2 linked regions of the Arabidopsis thaliana genome follow. The protein of the gene in region 1 interacts with the protein of each later gene in a biochemical or structural test. Each region holds a gene or a part of one and is shown on either strand. Other genes may lie near its edges.

Region 1 (4,193 bases):
CCGATGTGAGCGTCAGAGGAAGGTAGGAGAAGGCATCAATGATACAGAAGATAGGTTATGTGCCAGTGGGCCTACAAACAGGCCCATTAAATGTTTTTCTTGGACTAATGAATGAATACTCATTCAAACACTTCCCTTCTTTCTCTTAATGAAATTTGTTGAACACAAAAAACAGAGAAAGGCAATGTCGTTTTATACATCGGTTTGGTTACTCATCGTCGGTTTGGGTTTTTTATAACGTTTTTGTGTGTGTGTTTATCATTGAATTTTGAATATTATACACTGTGAAAGTGAAATTGTGTTTTTCTCATAATTTAACATCTACAAAGGATAGGTGTGAAATTGTGTTTTTCTCATACACTAACATCTACGAAGGATAGGTGGTGATTTGTTGACGATTAGTCAGAGCATATAGATTAGTCGTTACTCGTTAGTAGACCACCCATATTTGAATTACGACTTGTGGATAATTCAAAGTATGGATTACGATATTCGTAAATGTTATCGTTTGTTAAAAAATCTCATAAATCATATAAAAATGAATTTGTATTCAAATATGGATCGTCAAATGTTCCAAAAATTTCACTATCTTACAAACTAAATTAAACCAAACCACCAATTTAAATTTATATTAAATAATTATACCAGCAGAAATTAAAATTTAATCATCCCAAATGACTCCAAAACTCTCCCAGAAACGTCTTTGCCGCGTCAAGGCTCGGGAAATACGTCGGCTCCATAAATATCTGACTCAGTGAGTCACACGACTCTTGACTCGCCGTCGCGTTCATCTCCGCACTTCCCATCATAGCCGCCACTAACTGCCTATACCCAAAGAAGAAACTCTTCGCCGCCGCTTCCACCGCTTGCATCCCCTGAAGCAAATGAATCTTATCGCACTCTGTCTTCCTCGCGTAAAGCTTCATCGCCGCCTCTTGTAATCTTGGTCCTCCGGTTGGATCTACCTCAACCGCCAAGACCGCCGGTACTTTCTGTCTCAGATCTTTCGACATCTTCATCATCTCCACTAATCCTTTAGATCTGAAACAAAACGCATCGTTTTTACCCGTCGATTTGATCTGTAACTGTTTCTTCAATTTCAAAAAATCTTCCGGATCCATCAACATATGAAGATCTTCAATCTCCGCTAAAATTTTCCAGATCTTCTCCAGCAAGTAAACATCGTTTGAAGCTTTTCCGAATTTCTCTTCTTCGATACTTGAGACGATTCGATTCAGAAGATTTCCAGATGCGTAGATCCACGATTCGAGGATCTGGTGAATGATATAGAGAGTTTGATTCTCGTGATTATCGATATGATCTGCGTATGGATTATCCTTGAGGCTATAGATCTCGTTTGGTCGGCAAATCGCATCGTACCGGAGATTTGGTTTTCCGGCGATGTTTTGTTCACCGAGTCCGAGCGTGTACTTACACCGACTCATCTCGTTATCGATCGTATATAAGATCTTCTTCCCCAAAGCCTCTGATCTCCTCCACGTAGCTAGCTGCGGTAACAAACTCAACGAACTCCGTCCACCGCCGACCGGAGCCTCCGCTGATATACCTTCTTCTTCTTCATCTTCGCAGATCGCTGCTACAAGCTGGATCTGCTTCGTGATGAGAGAATCTAGCCTCCGGTTCCATTCACGGTGGTTGATGTACGGTCTAGTATCAGAACAAACGGCGAAAACTAATCTGAAACTGATCTCCAAAGCTTGAAGAGCTGGTTTGAGAATCGGCTCTGATGTCCATTGAGGAAAATCACGAGATGACCAGAGCTTTCTTAGCTCAGGGAGACGAAGGTAAAGCTCGTAAGCAGAGCAAAGAGCAGGTGCTGAACATGAGATCGGAGATGAAACAGGGACGATTTTGAACGGTGATGGAATAGTTACGTGAAGCTTTGAAGAAAGCTTAGGTGAGTTTGGTAAATCTGATGATACCATCTTCCTCTTCCAATCCATATCAACCATTTTTATTTTTTTAAGGTCTGTGTTTTTTTTGGTGTGTGTGTTTGTGTTTGTGTGTTAAATTTTGAATTTGAGGATGAGTTTAGGATACGAGGAGAGTATATATAGAGAGAAATGTGGATAGAGGATGGGGACGAGAAAAAAGGCGTGTGGAATAATACCGACGCGACTGATTTGAAAGTCAGCGTAGAAACGCGGTCTCCTTTTTAAAAAAAAAAAAAACCAGTACTGTGGATTAATTTCAGGATAATCTTTTTTTCGTTTTTTGGCTTTATATTGCTTTTTGAACTGTTTTCTATGAAAGGTAAATGCCTGATGATTAGTCGAATGTTCAGTAATCTGATTTCTAAGGAAATATCGAATATTTTCTCGTTTTTGGTAAGATATTATCTTTTAATAAAAGTTAAAGTTAAAACACACAGTCATGTTCATAACATGTTAATACATATATAGAAATGTTTTATTTGATGATATATGCGATGTAGTATAACATTTAGGGGTTGATCGATAAGAATATAAAATTTTCTGCAAATACATTTTTGAAAGTCAGTCATGCGTTATGGGTTGTCACTTATGAGCAATATTTACAAGCTGTAGATAGTTTTTGATCGAAGCAAATATATAATAATTTTGATAGTTGTCGATCTACAGCTACAAGTTCAACTAATCATGCACATGGTGTTTTGAATATATATCAACAATCGTAAAACATAACAGGTGTCATGTACCACATAAAACTGAAAGAAAACAATGTTTTAGTTGCAAATATGAAAAACGTCATTTATTTTCTATAATGAATTGAATAGAAAAAGAGAGAAAAATCACGTATTTGTTTATGTATATTTATGTATAAAACGGACAAAATTGTGAAATTTTAGTAGCGTAATGACGGGCAATTAAAGAAACTCAAGAAAGCATAAACTTAAATTCGCAACACTAGAGATTTTAATACATGTTTGATGTTTCCCTACAAAAGTTATAAAAGCTCTATCTATAAGGTCAAACAATTAGGATAATACTTGCAAGTAGGAGCATTATAAGACAAATATACGTTACGATAAAATTATTGCTCAAAATTAAATTTGGATACTAGAAAAGTGTATAGTCCGCAGTTTTCACAAATATAGTGTCCCCTAAATTAGTACTGTATCGTGTTATCAGTATTTGAAACGCGTATATAATAAAAATGACTATTTTTTATTGTAGTGTGGATAAGCATTTAGACGGTGCCGTGTTATGAATTGAAAAAGGAATGGCACATGGAAGTAGGAGGAATATAGATGCGAAGCTTATCCAAAATATGTGAGGAAGGTTGGAGTTTGGTCTCACTTAATCTTCTAATAGTGTTTTACTTGGAAGCTGTCGTTTCCTTTGACTTTGGTTTTTCTTTTTTCTTTTCCAGTTCAATATTCTAATCTCACCGATTTTTTTGTTTATTTATTATATACGATAGATAAATTTTGATTGTAATAAGACTGTTTTGAGATTTCTTCACCAAATCTCTTTTAAGTGCATGAAATATATTTTTTGTGACCAAGACTTTCATGGATGTTTCTGTTAATTTATCGGTACATTGGATATTGAATTTAATTAATACTATCAGTTGGAAACGGTTCGAGTGAAGACAGACCATTTCTTCCATTACATATTAGACATTAGACAAGTAGATTATAACAAAGGACAAATGATTATATAGTTTGAAATACAAATTAGTGGTCTATAATCTTCTTTATGTTAAGAGTTTTCTTTTCAAATAACTACTTATGTTTTAATTGGTATTGTTTACATCTATTTTACGTACGTCACTTGTTTGCACTTTGCACTGATCAAAGCCATCTTTAACAATAACGTTTTTCTACAACCAATTACACCCGCCTAGTAAATTCGAGACACATATTCTCTTTAAAAAGAATAAAATGTTACAACTAGTAAATTCGAGGCATTAGTCTTACCCTAAAACCAACTTTTTATATATGTTAATAAATACACTTTCTTTAGCTATATTGTTTTGGTTACTGAATCATTCCACTATTCATATCATTTAATATACATCCTATACTATTACGTTTTAAAAAAAATATATATATATGAAAAGTATGCAAAGAAGTTTGTAGATTGACGACAAAAAAAAAAAAAAAAAAATGTAGATTGTCTGCTTATTTTCTATTTTCCTTCCTCATTCCTTAACTTTGAATTCAAATAACTAAAATAAGTCATCTTTTG
Region 2 (7,607 bases), on another chromosome or scaffold:
CCGAAATCTAACACCGTCTTCCCGATCTCCGCCATTTTAGTATCTGATCTCAGCTTCTGGAATGTTTATGTCGAAAACAGTTGAGAGAGTTGATGAAGAAACTTGTTGGACTGGAAAAACGAAAACGTTTATTGTCTGGATAAGCCTAAATAAGTAAATAGAGTAAATACATTTTTCTCTATCACTTATTATGTCATCAATTATTTAACACTTATTTTTAATGACATTAGATTTTATTTTTTTTGCTCAAATATTTTTTAAATGACATTAGATTTTTTTATTTTTTTTTAGTGTCACTAGATTTGATTGAATTTTGTATTACTTTTATTGATATATTTTAAGAGCTATTGAAAAATCCGAAAGAAATCGATAATGCTATGATCAAATCACTCGATTAACCATTACTGAATATTACTTGTCATTGTACTTTTTTACTTGTTATTGTACTTAAGGTTATGATTCGTTATGATTGTAATTGTATTAATCATTACTTGCAAACTTCAACCATAAGGCTTATTCTCGCTGGTGACAATTCATCTTTGTCAACCAGTGCATTGTCCTACACTTCTACGGCCTTCTCATGCTGTGTTGCTTTTCGAGTCGATGAAGTGAAAAACTCAAAACCAAAAAAAAATGGAAAAAAAAAGAGGGAAGAAAAAGCTGAGGGAAGCTACTAGTAAAAGATTCCGGTAGCCAATATCTTCACAAGAATGGAAACCCGTTCAACTAAAACAACAAAAATAATAAGAAAACAATGATGAAAGAGGTTCGTAGCAAATTTACAAATTCCTTGCAAGAAGAAAAAAAAAAAAAAAAAAAAAGAAGCAAATTGTTGGGTAGTTTTGATTGAGGGGAAATGAGAAAAAGAGGTTGGGGAGGTTGTTTTGCTGTGGGAGTCAAAGACCGAGCAGGAATTGGAAAACATCGCTCAGTGAAATGATACCTTCAACACGTTTGCTCCCTGCTTCCACTATCACCAGCCTCCTTACACCTGTTGTGTTTTATATACACAAACCCAAACCCCAGTTACATCTCATCTGATGTTCCTGTGTCAAGCAACAAAGCTGAAGATTGTATATAGGAGATAGTGTGTACCTGGATTCGCCAACCGCTCCATCACTTTCACAAGAGAGTCTGAGCGCAAGCACATGTGACATCTCTGCCCGTTGAAGATTCCATAAGGCGGGCTCGCATCTTGCCCCAACTGTAGCGCCTGAAAACCCACAAACACATTATCCTCCACTTTATTATAACGTTTCATCTCTTCTTTCATTCTTGTAAAGATGTATGTTCAAATAAATCAGAAACGAGGCAATTTCCATGATAGATAGGCAGGTTACATTTAAGTAAAACTCGTAATTTGATGAGACATGTGATGGATCTTGGTTTCTGATGAGAGGTTTACCTGGTGAACTGTCATGTCATCAAGATGAATCTGTGCGTATGCCTTGTCTTTAGCCAGAGCAGTTATATCACTGGCCAATTACAAATATCATCAGAACACAAGGACGTCAAAGATGGAATGCATAAGACATCATGTCGATTGATGGATAGAGGTTTACCTTCGAGAGTATATGTCAATAAGCGAGTCGTTGTCATCCACTACGGGAATTGAACTGACTTCAGCTGTAATAACCAGGAAACATAAATTAAGCATGACTCATTCATTCATTTCCATCTATGAGGAACCAGGGAAAAGATCACGAGAAATTCTATAAATATATCTGCTTTAAGATTGACAAAAATGTTTCTATGTTTTTAAACCTCGTTAGTTTACTCATGTTGCAGCAATTACATCTGTATAAAAATAATAAAAGTGGTCGTAACATCTAAAGTTGGTTTGTTGGTCTGCATTGACTTGAGTATACCCATGTGTTCAGCTACTTGATTATATTACCATCTAGACAAAATATTTAAAACTGAAAATCTGATTGTAATGTAGAGGTTGATAGTCTGAGTTGCAGATGAGCTTTGAATAAGATGTTGCTGCAACAAGATAAGAAAAAGGATTACCTTGAACTAATAATGCGAGCGCAGAACCCAAAGAGGCGTGAGGTCTCAATGTAGCGAGAGGTTTGCTACTTGATTCTCCGATTCTAGGGACCCACGTACCCAGGGGAATTGAACAAATGGGTTGCTGAAGGATAGGTAAAGAGCTAGACGAATGTCTAAAGTATCTGCATATACCTGGAAGATTATGCTTAATTTAGAGCTTAAGTGTCTGATAAAGGCATAAATTTCGAAAGGAATTATTAACAGGGAAAACTGTGTAAAAAGTTTGGTAAAGTCAATTGCAACTTTAGTTTCTAATTTCCCTCCCTCCTAAAGATCCCATCCCTTCACAGAATTTGGAGAAATGAAGAAGTGGGAAAATTTTGGAAATAGCAGAATCATATGCACGTCATGAATTAAAAAGTGAGAAATGCCAAATTGGCGCGCTTATCAGTGTCTTATTCACAAATGAAGGGACCTTACATTTTAATATGCCTGATAGCGAAGCAAGATGCAGTAACTGCGGATATGAACCATCCTGCAAAGAAGAATATATAACCGGAACAGCTGCCACCTTGTTTTGCAAAATTTTCAGGGCAACGTCTTTCAGATTATCATAGGGTCCAACCTGATAGCCATATATAAAACCATTAATAGCAAGAGAGAAATACTACTAGCTCTTTTCAATATAACATGCAATAGAAAGTTCTAGGATAAGGCTATGTTCAGAGATTACGCAAACAGAAGAAAGTTAGTAGTAACAGCGATACAAATCAACTGTGAAAATCTCACCTGAACAAGTGGCCTAGGATATGGTCTCCCACTTCCATCATATTGCCGGCTAATATGAGCCTTCCCCTCTTTCCAGGCTGCTATTGTGTGCGTCTCAAGCTCTTCCTCTGTCAAGTTTGATCCATGAGTTCCAAGCTGCAATTTTACAAATTTGCTATTATACTCAAGAGTGAAATTTCATACTGAGAAGCTAGTAAAACATTTAAAACTATGTGATTTATGAGATATCCAGACTTCCGTCTTGGAAATTCTAAGAATATACAATAGTAACTCGATGGAATGCTCTAGCAAAGAACAGTTTTAATAGAAGCCAACCTCTCTCAGTATTAGAATGAAGTCTAGTGGACCAAGAACTCCAACAAATTGGCCTTTTCCAAAGTCCCAAAGAGGAGCCAAAGGGATTCCCTGAAAGCATCTGGAATTAGCAAAAACCAGAAAGCCAAACAATCTCGAAGTATAATTAGACGAATGTTGTTCACTTAAGTTTCACTTCCTTCCCTTTCCGGGTCTGGATGCAACAATATTAGAATGTTTATATGACGGTGAGAGACAGAGAGATGAACATCCTAACAAGAACAGAAGCTGACACAAGGGTAATTGGCAAATAAAGTAAACCTGCTCATAGAGTATATGGAATGCTTGCTTCACTGGCAAATTAACATCCAATGCAATAACCTGTAAAATTTCCAATCACCTTAGACAATTTCCGAGTAAGAAGCCAAAGGTTATTCTTAACTGATAATCTATAGGACATGAAGACAGAAATTATCAATGATCAAGCAAAAAGAAAAAGAAACCAAACCTTGCCCGATTCTGGGAGCAGCTCATATGCAGTGCGGGTTGACAATAAAACCGATATGCGGTGACGAGAAAGCTCCAAATCAACCCCCGACATCCTAGGAACAGCTTCCTGGGACGGGTCAGCCTACAATATAATCACCATGTGAAAGCAGTCAGAAACTCAATTTGAATGTAGTCTCAGAGACAATTTAATGGAACTTAAGGAATCCTGCTTTATACATTAAGATAAAATGGTCTAAAATCAATTATACTTGAACTAATGACAAACAGTTAAAAATAATCTGAAGGATACCAACCACGGATCAAAATTAAAGAAACCAAACTGGAAGCAACTCGGGAAACCTGAACCATCAAGCAGCGAGAATAAACACTGCATTTTGGAAAAGGAAAGGTCAGATTCCTTACCGTTCGCAGGAAGACATCATCCACATCCATATTCGACCGGCCCAGTGTCTCTGGGCTAAAACCAGCAGGAACCATATCTGGCCCAGTTATAAATATTGTATTCACTACTCCACCATTTCCGCTTACAAATGGTTGGTGCTCATCGTGCCGCCATTCCCCATCAACAAAAAACTTATACTGCATGAGAATGAAATAACATAAATGTAACATTAGTGGCTTCTTAAGCATCTCACATTGTAATAATTAAAATCTTGTTATATATAGTACATCCAACTGCCAAAATATATGAATCTCTATACACACACTGTAGCCTTTATTAAAAGAAGTGATTTAGGTATCACACAGCATGAAGACCCCAACTTTTGTTATGTGGATGGTGATGTATAAAGTCAAATTTTGATCAATTAGCAAGGAAATTTGCAATTTTCAGCCACAGTCATACAAATATGACAGAGGTATATAAGATTCTCATTGCATAGGTTAAGTATCCAGAGACTAAATGAAGCACAATTATGGACATCGCTAAATCACTACAAGGACATAAATGCTTCTGCAGGGATTAATTAACAAAGAATTTGCCATGATACAGGTCGAGTACAAGATTATTAACCTGATGATATCCTGGCGTCAAGTTGCAAATGACTTGAAAAACAGTAGGGCAGCCCTCGAGCGGTGACATTGGCACATGCTCTGTCCACCTGTTCAAATGCCCATTTCAGAAATCAGTCCATGGACTGCAAAACCCCGATAGATACTATACAGAGCACATACTCTACACAAACCCCGATAAATAGCTTAACTGAAATATAAAGTAAACTATCCTAGTTCAAGCTCAGTCATCTCACCTGGTGAAAGATCCGCTTAGGAAGACTCTTCTACCTCCATAAGGCCACACGAAGCGTGTCGGAGTAAGAAGCTGCCCTGAGGCAGCGCTGTTTCCACGGCTGCTATCCAATGTAGAACCAAACATCCCCTCCCAGTAGTTATATAGTTACAATCCACAGAAACTAATTCCTAAAAACCTTCTGAATCGATTCTTAATGCGTAAAATAATCTCGACTCTTCAGCAGAAGAAACAAAACCCGGTGAAACTTCAAACTTCAACGCTTACACATGCAGAGAGTCCGAATTCAATAACGCTACCATAAATTCCAGCAACCAGTAAACCGAAACCCTAAAAGCCCAAATCACGATCTACAACGAAATTACTGAACTCTTCCCCCAAACCTAGGTAGAGAAATTCCACCAACACGAAACCTTGTAAAAGAGCCCTAAACTCAAAGCACGAACGATCTGGCTACAAAAGCAAAGGTCAACTGATTGACAATACACACCACCTGGAAAACGTAGCTGAAAAATTCCGAGGAAAAGAAGGCAGAGGAAGTCGCGGCTCTGATCTTTAAATTCGGGGAGTAGAGAGACCTCGATGATGATCGGAATTGATTGAAGGGAGGGAGCAAGAATTAGGGATTTGAAAAGTTGGAGAGAACCCTAAATAGAGAGAGTGGAGATGGCATTGTTTGGATCTGGGCAAGGAATGATGTTAATGGTCTTTCAAGGTGAAGAAGAATCTGAGGGCGAAGAAGCGCTGCGTAATGAAAATGTTGTTTTTAATCCATCGACAAAGATATGGTTTTTTTTTTTTTTCTCTTTTTTATTACTGTATACAGTTTTTCCGATAACATTTAAAAAAAAAAAAAAAATTCTACTTTTACATAACTGATTATTCTTCTCTTTTTTCATAATAAATAACTATATGAATTATGCAAATAATAGCATCTAATATATAGTTTTAGTCAACTATCTAATAAATCATTTCCTATATATATAATATATCACATAAATGTTATGAATAAATTAGACGAGGATCCAAGTTATTAAAAATATTTCCACTTTAAAATTGTATCTAGTAAATTCTTTTTTTGGTATTATTTTTTTAAACTCATTTGTCTTTTCTGATGTTAAACAGTACTATAAATCAAACAAAACCAAACTAACATTCAAAAACGTTTCAAAATACACTTTTCTCTTATTCTCTTGTGTTTTGAAGCAGGGTAAATAAATAAAGTAAAAAGAAAAGCCATGTTTTTTTTTTCTCTAATTTTTATTGTGTCAACTCTTATAATTTCTTAAATTAAAGAAAATAAATCATTACATCCCACACCAATTTATTATCGGGTTAAACATAATCCATGAAATTACATTGTACATCTATTCTCGGTAGACATGTAATACAGGGAGACAATCGTGTTGTCTTCCAAGTTGACATTATTTGAGGGAGAGGAGACTTCATGTTTGAACCCTAGGCATGCAATTACATTTTATAGTAGATTTAGCCTTAGAAAGACCTGTAAATTAGGGCTAAAAGCCTAAAACCAAAACACGACCTTGAAGAAAAAAAGAGTTCGGTTTCTAATTAGTTTTATAAACTCTAAATAATCGAAGTGATGTAACTTTTATTTGTTGTGAGTATATATTTTTAAGTTGGATTTGAACTTTCTTATAGACATGACTTTATATAAGTGTATATATCTCGCTCTTACTCTAATGTTGTTTATCTTTTTCCTCAAAACGTATATAAGTCCCCCGGCCCTCTCTTTCAGTACTATTCTATATATACACTTACTCTATCTGTCGGAAAACAGCAAATGAGAAAGACATTTGTAAACAATGGTCATTTTGGCTTGTTGGTTATTGGGCAGCATTCACGGTCGCTGGCTAGTATGGACAATTGGATATATATACTCCTTTAATGGTCATAACTTTCATCTCAAAATCTTGATCGCTATATTTGGGCATTGAAAAACAGGCCAACAAAGTTTTTTTTTTTTATCTCATAAGGGCTCTTTTTAATATTTGGAAAGTCTTCATTTGGTTACATATTGTTAGAACATCTTTGGCTCTCGTCCTAAACATCCGTAACTCCTTCGTCGTAATTCTGGTTATGTATATGATCTTTGGCTCGGGAACTAATTCAAAGAGTTCTTTCTTCTTCTTTTCTTTCAGTTATGGGTTTTGCATCAGATTTCGAGAAGAATTTCTTTAGCCTCCACTGAATACATTTTTCTCTTAGTCTAAACAACTCTCCAATTACATCACATATGCTCCTTCTTTCTTTCTTTTTTTTTTTGATATGAAATCAATCAAAGTGAAAAGCTTAGATTATACAATATAGCATAGCCTAGTTCTTTGTAACCTTGCCCAAAAAGGAATTTAAGGAAACATCAAAGCTGGGAAAAATATTGGGAGACTAACGCGCAAGCAGTTTCATTGATGGTTCTTTCTCTTTCGGGTACAAAAGTCAAAATCTGAGTTTATCATTGATGGTTCTCTTGTAGGCAATTTCTGATGGTTCTCTTTTTCTCCTTCCAAAATAGATAGTCCATAACTCTTTGTCCGTAAGTATAATTTCGATGATTTTTGTTTTTTGTTTTACGAGAACGTTCACGTCACCAGAAGTATAATATCATTGAAATTAGGTTTGGAAGATTACACAGTTTTGTAAAAATAGTTAAATAATTTGTATACCAATTTTTCTTGCACATTCTTTATTTTGTTTCTCGTCAGTCAAACGAAAACCTAATCTGAAATATATATGTGTTCTTACATAATGCCAA

The links.
Region 2: the proteins of HSPRO2 (region 1) and SNF4 form a complex in vitro, tested with the Arabidopsis thaliana proteins (one study listed by BioGRID).

Annotation. Positions count from the first base shown.
Region 1 is NC_003071.7:16,699,984-16,704,176, forward strand, and holds HSPRO2 (ortholog of sugar beet HS1 PRO-1 2), read right to left. Parts: upstream 2,354-4,193; 5' UTR 1,974-2,353; coding exon 666-1,973; 3' UTR 507-665; downstream 1-506. UniProt on the Arabidopsis thaliana protein: Positive regulator of basal resistance.
Region 2 is NC_003070.9:2,899,253-2,906,859, forward strand, and holds SNF4 (sucrose nonfermenting-like protein), read right to left. Parts: upstream 5,611-7,607; 5' UTR 4,961-5,610; coding exon 4,836-4,960; intron 4,689-4,835; coding exon 4,601-4,688; intron 4,168-4,600; coding exon 3,991-4,167; intron 3,710-3,990; coding exon 3,587-3,709; intron 3,460-3,586; coding exon 3,400-3,459; intron 3,190-3,399; coding exon 3,100-3,189; intron 2,920-3,099; coding exon 2,785-2,919; intron 2,621-2,784; coding exon 2,476-2,620; intron 2,188-2,475; coding exon 2,014-2,187; intron 1,627-2,013; coding exon 1,563-1,626; intron 1,476-1,562; coding exon 1,406-1,475; intron 1,214-1,405; coding exon 1,096-1,213; intron 992-1,095; coding exon 897-991; 3' UTR 524-896; downstream 1-523. Other genes in the region: AT1G09010 (glycoside hydrolase family 2 protein), read right to left, coding at 1-35.